Linked DNA regions of Ovis aries. The main gene of each other region encodes a partner of the protein of the gene in region 3 in a complex. Links are inferred from orthologs where the notes say so. Each region holds a gene or a part of one and is shown on either strand. Other genes may lie near its edges.

Region 1 (3,645 bases), on a different chromosome or scaffold from region 3:
AATAAGAATGCTCCATTTTCAAAGAAGAAAAGCTCAAAAACTTTCCCCAGCGCTCGGGAGCCTATCCACTGGTAGTTTCCCCTTTTCCTACCTAAAGTAATTCATGTTGAGGTCAATGTTAGAGTTTAAAGCAAGTGTCTAAATGAACCTTCCTTTATTTCAAGGTCTAAATTAATCTCACTCCCCTCCCCTCCATCTCTTAGAACATGTGTGGATATTATTTATGTTGTGTGTGAAATTTTTAAAAAAGGGACTGATGGCTTCTTATGTTGTTCACCTTTTATTTTAATGAAATTTGTGAATAAAGGTCTCTGTGATGGATTAACAATACATGCACACACATCATGCCTATCAGAATGGATTTTTCTTAGTAGCCTGACTACTTTAACTAAATCTTCTTACCACACACATTTTTGGGCAGGAGAGAGGGTTCAGAGTTTTTTATTTATTTTTTAAACCAGCTTACTATTTACAACCTGAGAGCACCTCCCAGCAAATTGCCATTTTGTTACAATCTCCTTCATGTTCAGTATCTTACTCAGGGACAAGCTTTTCACATCATGGGGCAGTAGTAACCATAGTTTCCACCATTAGAAGCCTGCTGGAAAGGCTTTTTACATAAATACTGCATGTGCTCTCACACAAAATAAAAATTAAATGACTTGGACTCTTCATGAAATCATTAACCGTTTCATATTCAGGGGGCATGGGAGGACACTCGGAGGCTGATTTTTCTCCTCTTTGTGGCCAGATGGAAGGGCCTACTATCCATGTGATGTTTGAAAAAGAGAAAGACCCTTTCATCAAAGGGAAGTTAGGGCATGGGTCGACTAAAATAATTATTTAGAATTATTGTGGGTAGGTTAACAATATTCTTATCTCTTGTACAGTAGAGACTGGTCAATGTCAGATTGCCTTCATGGAGAGATATCTGCCTTTTAGAAATGTCTCAGGAGAAGCAGACATCCCACTGCACCTGGAGCTTCCTAGGGGTTGGGTACCTCAGGGAAATGCTAATAAGGCTTGGACAAAGCCTTCCTCCTTGTCTTCCCAAAGTCTGCTGACTTGATGTCAGAGAGAAGTTAACACAGAAGAGCAGATCTCCCCACTCAACCCAATAGAAGCACCGGCAAGAGAAAGAGGAGAGCAGACCATACCACTCCCTTTGGCAAGGACATGCCTCCTGGGCTACTCTTTTCTTTGACTTCATTAAAAGTCATTCACTGCCTTAGCCTTAAGTCTAAACTGCTGAATGTAGTCCCTTATCTGTGATGAACTCCTGTTGAAACTGAACCTTCTTACCTGGTTAAATGTAGAAATTTGTTTCAATCAAAGAATCTGAAGTTTAGTCACAGTCATGTGCTAGTTTGAAAGTCATGTGCTAGTTAGAAGAGCCTCCTGGCCCCGTCATCACGTTTTACAGCAGTGGAAACTGAGGTTCAGGGGGAGTGTCCCGCAGTGATTCCAGGGGGCAGATGTCCTCACTCAGCCACATCCTTCAGGGCCAAGGGCTTCCCTGGCTCTTGCCCAACTCTGTACTCGTGTAATAGGGCTCTTGCGCCTGCGGGTGCACCTACCTGAACCTCTGAGCCTGGTGGTGAAGTGGGCCAGGGTAGCGCCGGTTGGGGGACTGGTAGAGCTGGGAGAGCAGGGCCTGGCTGGACTTCTGGCTGGGGTTGTTGGCAAACTTCACAGTAATCGGTTCCGTAGCACCGCTGGGCTTCTGGCCATTCAGGCCTTTGATTGCTTCTTCTGCCTCAATCCTCTTATCAAATCGGATGAATCCCACCCCTCTGGACACTCCTGGGGAAAGAGAAAGCCTTTGTAAACAGTGAACAAACCAAACTGGTAAAGATCCCCAGGAAGTTATGGGCGAGTCCCATTGCTGTTTCTAGGGAGTCAGCCCACTTGTGGGGCCAGGGCTGAGCCTGGCTTCCTGAATCTCTCTCACCCATCAAAATGCATCTGCCTGCCTTTTTTGCTATCATGGCTCTGGGCTGGCAATTCCTGCCTATAGAACACAGGCATATTTCACATCTGTCCCTTCCTGCCTTCCTCCACCATCCTGCTCAGCCCTCAAGCCTTCCTTTAGTTGCTGTAACTGATCATCTGCTGTCCAGTTTCTAGCCCCTCAATGTGCCCTCCATACCTGGCAACTAAGTAATCCATTTGAAAGCAAACTCTGACCATATGATACCCTTTAAAAACACCATTTATACCTTTTTGTACCTTTTCTGTTTTTTACCCTGTGAATGTACCTGTTCCTCATTGTTCCCTACTCCAATGGCAGAAAAACAAATGAACAAAACCCATAAAAAACCCTTCCATGGCTCCAGGTGGCATACAGAGGAATTCCAGACTTGTTGGCATGGCATTTAATGCCCCTGATGATCTGGTCCCAACTCCCTGTTGAACCTCATGTAAGCCAAGCTAACTGCCAGACAGTCCTTGAATAGGCTGTGTTCCTCCTCGACTCCGTGCCTTTGGGTATGTTCTATCACCTATTCTATGGGATATATCCTATCCACCTAGAATGTTCTATCTTTCTTTCCCACTGGACAGCTTCAAGTCATTCTCTAAAACTCTGTTCAAACACCATCCCCTTGATGGAGACTTCCTGAGCTCTCCTGGGGCGCTGGGCAGCTCTAGCTGGTACTCATCACACTGTGGTCTTGTAAGGATGGGGCTGTGACACCTTTGTCCCTGATCTCTGGTGTCCCTCTGCATAGCATCTGGGGCAGAGCTGCCTTCAGTGAGGTTTGTTGCAATAATCAGATGATAAATACACGCTAAACGACTCTCTTGGTGGCCCAGATGGTAAAGAATTTGCATGCAATGCAGGAGACCTGGGTAGGATCCCTGGGTCGGAAAGATCCCTTGGAGAAAGGAATGGCAACTCACTGCAGTATTTTAGTCTGGAGAATTCCATGGACAGAGGAGCCTGGTGGGCTACAGTCCATGGGGTAACAAAAAGTCAGACATGACTGAATGACTAACACTCTCACTTTCAAATGACTCTCAGGGGGTGTTTTTAATTAGAGTAGGTGGAAACCTTCTGTCATCAAAAATGCAACCTGGGTGCCTTTCTTACTGAGAGTTGGTGGCAGCTGCTTTTCTTTATGATAGCCCAAGTACCACAGGATCCAATCCTAGGTTATCCCTGCACTGCTACTAACTGGACAGGTGTCCCACTTTGGACCTCTGTTCTCTTACCTGTGAAATGAGCCAGTTTCAGTTTCCCTTTAACTCTACAGTGCTATCAGAGCAGCCAGAGCTATACACAGAGGTTCTTTTCACATGCAAAAGTAATGTTGTTTGGTTGAGGGTTGAAAGAAACTTTGAAGGTCATTCAGCCCCACTCCCAGCCTGATGGCTGAATCCTCATTACAACTCTGCCAAGTAGTTTAGCTGCTGCTGGAACCATTCCCATGATGGAGCCCTTCTACTTCCCAGGATGGCCCATTTTAAATTTCAGCAGTTGATTGATAAAAAGTCTTTCTTTTAAGTCAAAAAGCTGTCTACTTGTGACCCATATCCATTTCCCTAAGTGACCATTACCCCTCTGCTCCGGTGGGTCACAGGGCACTGGCTGGTGACACTGACCCAAAGGAAGGAAATAGCCTAGAAATACTTCACCTGTGACTT
Region 2 (4,382 bases), on a different chromosome or scaffold from region 3:
CAAACTACTATATTAAGAAATGGTCATCAATTATTTCGTATATAAATCCAATAGTTTACCCTCATTCGCACTGTCTCCTAGCAGACGGTCCTCAAAGCTGCAAGCAATATATTGTTAGTAAGTCCAAATACATAAATTAATCAGTACTTAAAATAATTAATGAACCTAAATATATTATACCAAATCTTTAGGCCTTGATATTCATTAAAATTTGGAAATATTACATCTTCTTGAAAAACAACATATTGCACTTGTTAGCATTCTCCCTCTACTCCCTCTATAAGATAGCAAAAGATATTCAGCCTAGGTCTAAAATCTGAATTTAAATTACTAGCTAAGTATCTGGGACTAAATTTAGAACCAGAGAAAATACACTACAAATTCAATTTGCTGTGATGTGAGAGGAAACTCCAAAAAGTCTGTCTTCTGGTGATGCTCAGTGTATTTTGTTAGCACCTAAGTCTTGTGTCATCAAACTGGACTTAGTATAAAGTTTATTTTGTAGTCAGTCACCCTGTTGTTGTTCAGTTGCTAAGTCATGTCGGACTCTTTTAGACCCCATGGACTGCAGCAAACCAGGCAGACAGTCCTCCACTATCTCCCGGAGTTTGCTCAAACTCAAATCCATTGAGTCAGTGATGCCATCCAACCATCTCATCCTCTGCAGCCCCATTCTCCTTTTGCCTTCAATCTTTCCCAGCATCAGGGTCTTTTCCAATGAGTCAGCTCTTAGATGGCCAAACTACTGGAGCTTCAACTTCAGCCCTTCCAATAAATATTCATACTTGATTTCCTTTAGGATGCAAATCTCCTTGCACTCCTAGGGACTCTCCAGAGTCTTCTCCAGCACCACAATCTGAAAGCATCAATTCCTTGGGACTCTGACAGTAAAGAATCTGCCTGTAATGCAGGAGACCCAGGTTCAAGCCCTGGGTGGGCAAGATCCCCTGCAGAAGGAAATGGCAACCCACTCTAGTATTCTTGCCTGGAGAATAATTCCATGGACAGAGGAGCCTGGTGGGCTACAGTCCATGGGGTCACAAAGAGTTGGGACACGACTGAGTGACTAACACACACCCACACCCCACAAATACACCCACACCCTTCTTTATGATCCAACTCTCATGTCTGCAACTGACTACTGGAAAAACCAAACTTTGATGATGCGGACCTTTGTCTGCCAACTAAGTTAACCCTGGAGACACCCAATTAACGAAAAGCTGTGGAAAGCTAAGGATATCTATCTACAAATTGCAACCATGAATAATCAATTTAAAAAACAAGCCCTCAAGGTGAACGAGTTAACATGGAATATGAAGGACTACACTATCAAATTCCTTCTTCCCTCGGTAGTCTCATCTAACTCCATAATATTAAACACCAACTATATCATAATGATAACCAAATATATACTAAACATTTATAGTCTTTTTAACCTCCCAAACCAAATTCATCTAACAGACCCATTTGGATGCTACCTTGGCATCTCAGTCAATACAAAACTTTAAATTTCTTCCCCAAACCTGTTCTTCTTCCTCCCAAGCCCAGTTTTCCCATCTCCCCAAATGGCACCACCATTCACCAAGTTACTCACGGTGTGGGATCTACCCAGTCCCTGAAGATCCTCTATAGCCATCCCTTGTTATGTACCCGTCAGTATCCTTAAAGGAGCACCTACGTGAACTATTTTACTTAACCTTTACAACACTGTGCAAAAAGCATTATTATTATTTCCTTTTTACAGATGAGTAAACTAAGTCAAGAATAACCTGCCCCAAGAGACAGAGCTCCTAACTGGGGGACCCAGAATTTCCAGCCAGGTAGGCCACTGCTCATCCACTGCCCACTTCTGCCTCCAAGGCAGGTGTCCCATCTCCCTGCTATCACTCTGCACACCTGGAGTGCGGGAATGACGTCCTCAACGATTCCCACTTCCTCCACTCTAGCTACCCCCGAATCCTTGCTTCCCTTAAATTCTCACCACACTCCAGTCACATGGCCTTCTTTCAGTTTCCAACGCCTGCCTGTTAACACTCACTACTCCCTTCGGCCTCTGCGGTTCTGCCCCCTCCTCCGCCGCTGACGCATCCTCCGCCCCGCGGCCGACAGTTCAAAGGTCTACTACCTCCTCCGGGACGCCTGCCCTCGCCACCCGATCTCAAGTGGCTCTCTCCCTTTACACTAATTCCTCGCCACCTCTTGACGGAAACCTGCAGACGCCTGTTTTCCGACTGCCTCCCTCTCCCCCAACCCCAACCCCTGGAAAGGAAGGGCCGGGACGCTGCCTCAGCCCTTTACTCTCTGTCTACAGCGGCCGCAGAACAGCGCCCCCGAAACAACAGCCCGTTCTGTGCGTCTTGAACGACCGAAGGGCCCTAAGGCGAGCGCGGGGCCTCGGCGGGCTCAGCCCCACAGGACGACTCACCCCGCCCCCACACACCTTTCCCTCTGCGGCGAGAGCCGCGCCGCCGCGCTAGGCCGGAGGAGGAAGTGCGGCCTGGCCGTTAAGCAGACCGGGCCGGGAAAGGGTGTGCGAACAAGCAGGGCAACAACGGGGCTCCCCCGACCTCACGGGCAGCGCAGCGCGGCGGGCAGCACGCAGCCCGCAATCCGGGAACCCGGCGAGGCGGCTCCCCACCCCCACCCCAACCCGCCACCGCCCGCGCCACCGAACAAAGCCCTGCTGCAGAGCCGCGGGGCCCACGCCGGCCCAAGGAAAACCACAAGGCCGTTTTCCCCTTACCCTCTTCTGCTTTCCTGGTGCCCGAGAGCACAGCCCTCTTAGGACCGTCCGTAGCACGGGCTTTTAGCGACGGACACCGGAGAGCAAACCGCAACTTGCAAGAAAGCGGCTGCGAAATGGCTGCGATCGCGGCGCCAGGGGGCGGGGCCAGCGCTCTGCGCATGCGCAGAAAGCGAGCTGGGGGGCGGGGCGGGCGGCCCAGGCCGCCGTGAGGGAAGGGCGGGGCTGCGGCTACGTAGCGGCCGTTAGTTTCTGGTCGCCCGGGAGATGGGGCTGCCAATGGCGCCCGCGGTCCCGGCCTGACTTCCTTGTGTAGCGTTTGAAAGTTTGGGCGACTTGGGGGACCCGGTAGCATTTTAATGCATCAAAATGTTTTGCAGCTTTTGTCATAGGGACCTGTGGTAGATGAGGTGCCCTTCCAAGACAGAACTGAAATGTTAGGTGCTAACTTTATAGGGTTTTTGTTTTAGCTCCTAAGTCTTGTCTGCCCGCCAAGCTCCTCTGTCCATGGGGTTTCCCAGGCCAGAATACTGGAGTGGGTTGCATTTCCTTCTCCCGACCCAGGGATGGAACCGGTGTCGCCTGCATTGCCAGGCGAGCTCTTTACCTGGTGAGCCACCGGGGAAGACCTCAGAGGCTTGTTAGGGTAGTTAAACTAGACACCATGTGAAGTGGGCTTATTGTGTGTTCCTGACACACAGTAGGTGTTCAACAGATACTGTTGTAGTGATTAAAATACTCTTAACAGGAATGTCTCCTGAGAGAAATAATCTCAATGAAGGCAGGAACTCTGCCTGGCTCACTCAGGCCACTCTCTGTGTTAACGGAGTCCAAGCGTACTCTGCCTGCTACATGGACAGGCCAATGAATCAGAGGGGCGAGCTTGAAGCAAGGAATATGACTTTATGTTCAGAGAGCTGACTGGCCAAGAAGATGGCAGACAAATGACTCCAGATTGGGGGAGGTGAAGAAAGAAAATAGAAAGGCCATTAATCTTGCAACTATCTCCTAGAAAGAGAAGCCTCAAACAGAGATGTGTTCATTTCTTCCTTCCTGCCATCTACAGATGGACCGGGGTCTGAACAAAGACACTTTAACAGGCAGAGGGGCAAGATTCTCTCAGGCAGGCCATTATGTATGATTATAATAACAAAAAACTAAAAGTCAGTCAGATAGTTCCAAAGTGGAGTCAGAACTGGTTTTTCCCTGCTACAACTGGGGTACATATCACATGCTTACTAAAATGAATAGATTAAAAACTGTAAGGTTGTTTTTGCTCAAATTGGATATCCTTTTGTCTTCAGTCTTTGAAATAATTTGTATTGTTAACTATTGTAGTAGTCACTTAAATTTTTGAACTCTAGTGCTTCCCACAGAGTCAATAGTACAGAATATTTCAAGTTGGGATTGTTCCAGAGAATCCAGACTAATCAATTATCTGACCCCATCATACCTACCATCCTTATTTTTCACCTCTTTCGCTAAGTTTTTTTCCCTAACTCTTCTAGCTCATTGTGGTTAGTCCCTTGTTTTAGTATTTCTCCTATGATTAGAATAACACAGCATTTACTCAATCTTATTTTCCTCATGGGTTTGCTGTCTTCAACTGAAAACAAAACCATTCAGGAAAACACCTTAA
Region 3 (3,645 bases):
TTTCACTTTCCTCTTTCACTTTCATCAAAAGGCTTTTTAGCTCCTCTTCACTTTCTGCAATAAGGGTGGTGTCATCTGCATATCTGAGGTTATTGATATTTCTCCCAGCAATCTTAATTCCAGCTTGTGCTTCTTCCAGCCCAGCATTTCTCATGATGTACTCTGCATATAAGTTAAATAAGCAGGGTGACAAGACAGCCTTGACGTACTCCTTTTCCTATTTGGAACCAGTCTGTTGTTCCATGTCTAGTTCTAACTGTTGCTTCCTGACCTGAATATAGGTTTCTATTAATGGCTCCCAAAGGACTGTCAGAGAAAGTTACCACACCACGCTGGGGTCTGGGTTCCTGTTTGGCCCTTGATTTCATGAGCAGCCTCAGGTGGGCCACAAACCTGTTAACAAGCTTATCCTCTGGGAATGAAAGGGGTGGTATCCAATAGCCTTCACAGCCTTCTAGCTCCAACAATCGGGGGTCTTAGGAAAACCCCACTAGTTTCAGTCATCCTGTAATGTGAATCTGATACCTGCCCTCCTTTCTAGACTCTGGGGTCACAACGCTGGGCACTGCTGCCGGGCTCACTGGAAGCAGCACAGAAACGGATGGTGGGTGCCAGGACGAGACCAGGAAGCTGGAAGGACTGGAAGCAAGGATGGAGCAGTGGTTCTGGGAAAGGTGAAGGAAATGCCCTGGAAAAGGGCAACCCATGGTGTCACCCCACAAACCAGACTGGGCAGCGCTAAGACCCATCTCTCTTCTCCAGTGCAAAAGAGAAGGACCACGTGGTTAGACGACAGCAAAGACTATCAACATATAACATACGACATGTAACATTAATAGTTACTGTACATAACATACCTACGAAAACAGTCAAATCACTGTTCCTACAGTCTTAAGAGGGAATAAGACATCTACACATCACACCCTACACCTGGAAGAGAAGAGTGACCCAGGCCAGAGGCAGGCAGAGTCCCGCTCCTCTGATCCCCAGGTTCCTGCCACCCTCCTGTGACGGGGGAGTGCCACATGTACCTGGCTGGCATAGAAATGCCCAATGATCTTGACGATGACCTGGTCGTTCTCATCAGGGGTCTGGTCTCTTGGCACCACCACCTCAGCTGCTGTCAAATTTTGCAGCTCGTTCACCTGGGGGCAGGGGTGAGGGCAGAGGACAGGTCAGAGAGGCGCTTGAGTGCTGACAGTGTCAAACGTGGATGGCAGTGGAGGAAGGGGCAAGAAGTTTAGTCACTAGCTGGTAGAAACTGGAGGATTCAGGAGCTGAGCTTGGAGAGCAGAATCAAGTAAAGGGGCAAAGTGCAAGAACTAAGGCTGAGCAGACCTGGAAGAGCCCCTGGAGAAGGGGATGGCCGCCCACGCCAGCATGCTTGCCTGGAGAATCTCACGGACAGAGGAGCCCGGCAGGCTACAGTCCATGTTGCAAAGAGTCAGACACAACCAAGTGACTCACACTCAGAGGTCACTCAGCCTGGGGAAGTGGGGGCCAGGGCAGAGCTGTCAGGCTCAGGGACTAACATCCAGAGCTTCCGACCTGACCCTCATGGCTCACCGTCTTGCCACCTTTGCCAATGACCCGGCCGGCTGCTGACGCTGGCACCCGGATATGGGTCTCCAGCTTTACTTCTTCCTTGGGACCAAAGAAGTTCTCCTCCTTGAGTTTTCCATAAATTCTTCCCTGAGCCTGAGAAAAGGAGGTCACTGTTATGTTGGCAATACAGGTATACATGACAGACGGAAGCGCCCCACGCCCCACTCCCTCGTGAGGGGCAGATCACCGCCTCGGACAGGCAGCGCGAAGGGTCCACAGCACTGACCTGTCAACACTCCTGCTCACTTCTAACACTGGGAGGCCTGGGCAAAGTAACTGAATATGAATACGTAACTCCCCAGACGAATACAGTACCTAAACCACAAACCAGACCTGAGGGGTCTGGGAGGCTTGCGTGGACTCGGACAAGCAGTGAATGGCAAGTCAAGCCCTGAGTGGCAAGTGGAGGAGTCACTCAGTGGCAGGCTGCTGGTCACTGTACACAGCCTAGGGCTGTCCCCATTCTCCATCCCTCCCTAGATCAGAGCAAGTGACTTTCTTAGCTCTTTGGCTGGCTGTCAGAAGTCCGAGAACCTAGGAACGCAGCAAGGACATAAAGGAGAGAAGAGCCTTCCTTAGTCACTACAGCAGAGGGCAAGGAGAGGGCCTTTTTTCCTGTGTGCCTATCCACTCTCAGGAAGCAGAGAGGGAAGGCAAAAGAATGCAAGTTGGATGTCAGTCTGAAAGCAGCTGTGCAGCCCCGAATTTACAGGGAAGCTTAAAATCTGATGCAGATTTGCACTCCCACGCAAACTTGGTTCCCCTGGGTGGGTCCTACTCGAAAAAACAATAAAGATCAGAACCTTGAATTGGGCTTCTGGGGGTCCAGTGATGATGACCATACGAACTTTGGAGTCTGGAGTTTCAGGAGGAGCAATCTACAAAGCAAACAGTGGTCACAGATAAGCACTCTATCGCCCTCTCCTCCAGAACCCTACCAACACCCTGCTTCGACTTCCCACTTCTGATGGCCTAGAGAGTGAAGAACAAACACCCCAGACCCAAGGCTATTGGCCCTGTGTCAAAACTCTTACGAGGGCACAAGCGCATTTGTTTCTTGACGTTTTCTAAGTAGGACCTCCCTGCTCACCGCCCAGAGGGGTTCAGTTGAGTCCTGCCAAGAAGGACCACTGGTGGTGGGGGCAGTAGAAGGGAACGGACTGATCTCCTAGAGAATCTCTGGGAGCCCTTATTCACCAGAGAACATAGACTCCATCTGACCAAAACCTTGCAGACCACTAAAACCAATGGCTTTAGACTTGTGAAATTTAACAAAGTATTCGTTCACTGTGACAGGTTCTCCCTGACCAGGGAAGGTGGAAACAGCTAAAATTTACCAAGCAACCACTGTGCACCAAGCACTGAGCTGGGGGCTTTGGCTGCATCATCTCAGATTATTCTCATCACTACTATACTGACGGGGAAATGAAGGCTCAGGTACTACAGCTCAAAAACTGGGATTGAACCCAGTCAGTCTTGCCTGAACTGAAGCTCTCCTGTGCTACGATACCACTTCCTCCCTTAGTCTGAAAGTGAAGTCGAAAGCAAAAGGAACTGGGAGCCCACAGGAGAGAGCCCTAACGCTAGGCAGATGGGGTGTCTGAGAACCAAAGGAGAGGGAGATGGGAGCAGAGAGCCGCCACCCCCACCCCGGGAACCAGAAGAGAACAGAGCTGGTCACCTTGATGGAGGCGCTGGCGAAGCGGGAGAGCTGTTTAATGTGCTGCCCCTTCTTGCCGATGATGGCGCCCACCGCCTGGGCAGGAATGAACACCTGCACCATCTCCTGCTCTGGAGCCTGCTGCCAAGACAGGACATGTCATTAGTGCAGCTCGCATCAAGGGGCACAGCCCGGAAGCCCCTCCATGGCCCTGCCCTGCACTGTCAAGAAGGGGTGCAGCACCCAGACACCAGCCTGGGCGACCTGCTCTGCAGCTCTCCCAAGGCCCCACAGGGACAAACAAAAGAAGCTGGACCAGAAGAAGACGAAGAGTGCTCCCAGCATCCAAGGCTGCTGTCTACAGGGCTGATGCTCCGGAC

The links.
Region 1: IGF2BP1 (region 3) and ELAVL4 share a complex: the UniProt entries of both Homo sapiens proteins name them as parts of the TAU mRNP complex. The link is inferred for Ovis aries from reciprocal best matches to the Homo sapiens genes IGF2BP1 and ELAVL4.
Region 2: IGF2BP1 (region 3) and DHX9 share a complex: the UniProt entries of both Homo sapiens proteins name them as parts of the coding region determinant (CRD)-mediated complex. The link is inferred for Ovis aries from reciprocal best matches to the Homo sapiens genes IGF2BP1 and DHX9.

The regions. Positions count from the first base shown.
Region 1 is NC_056054.1:24,708,144-24,711,788, reverse strand, and holds part of ELAVL4 (ELAV-like protein 4), read right to left. Parts: coding exon 3,637-3,645; intron 1,804-3,636; coding exon 1,578-1,803; intron 1-1,577. UniProt on the Homo sapiens protein: RNA-binding protein that is involved in the post-transcriptional regulation of mRNAs. Plays a role in the regulation of mRNA stability, alternative splicing and translation.
Region 2 is NC_056065.1:63,343,456-63,347,837, reverse strand, and holds the start of DHX9 (ATP-dependent RNA helicase A), read right to left. Parts: upstream 2,866-4,382; 5' UTR 2,744-2,865; intron 1-2,743. UniProt on the Homo sapiens protein: Multifunctional ATP-dependent nucleic acid helicase that unwinds DNA and RNA in a 3' to 5' direction and that plays important roles in many processes, such as DNA replication, transcriptional activation, post-transcriptional RNA regulation, mRNA translation and RNA-mediated gene silencing.
Region 3 is NC_056064.1:37,251,155-37,254,799, forward strand, and holds part of IGF2BP1 (insulin-like growth factor 2 mRNA-binding protein 1), read right to left. Parts: intron 3,407-3,645; coding exon 3,287-3,406; intron 2,484-3,286; coding exon 2,409-2,483; intron 1,699-2,408; coding exon 1,567-1,698; intron 1,146-1,566; coding exon 918-1,145; 3' UTR 1-917. UniProt on the Homo sapiens protein: RNA-binding factor that recruits target transcripts to cytoplasmic protein-RNA complexes (mRNPs). This transcript 'caging' into mRNPs allows mRNA transport and transient storage.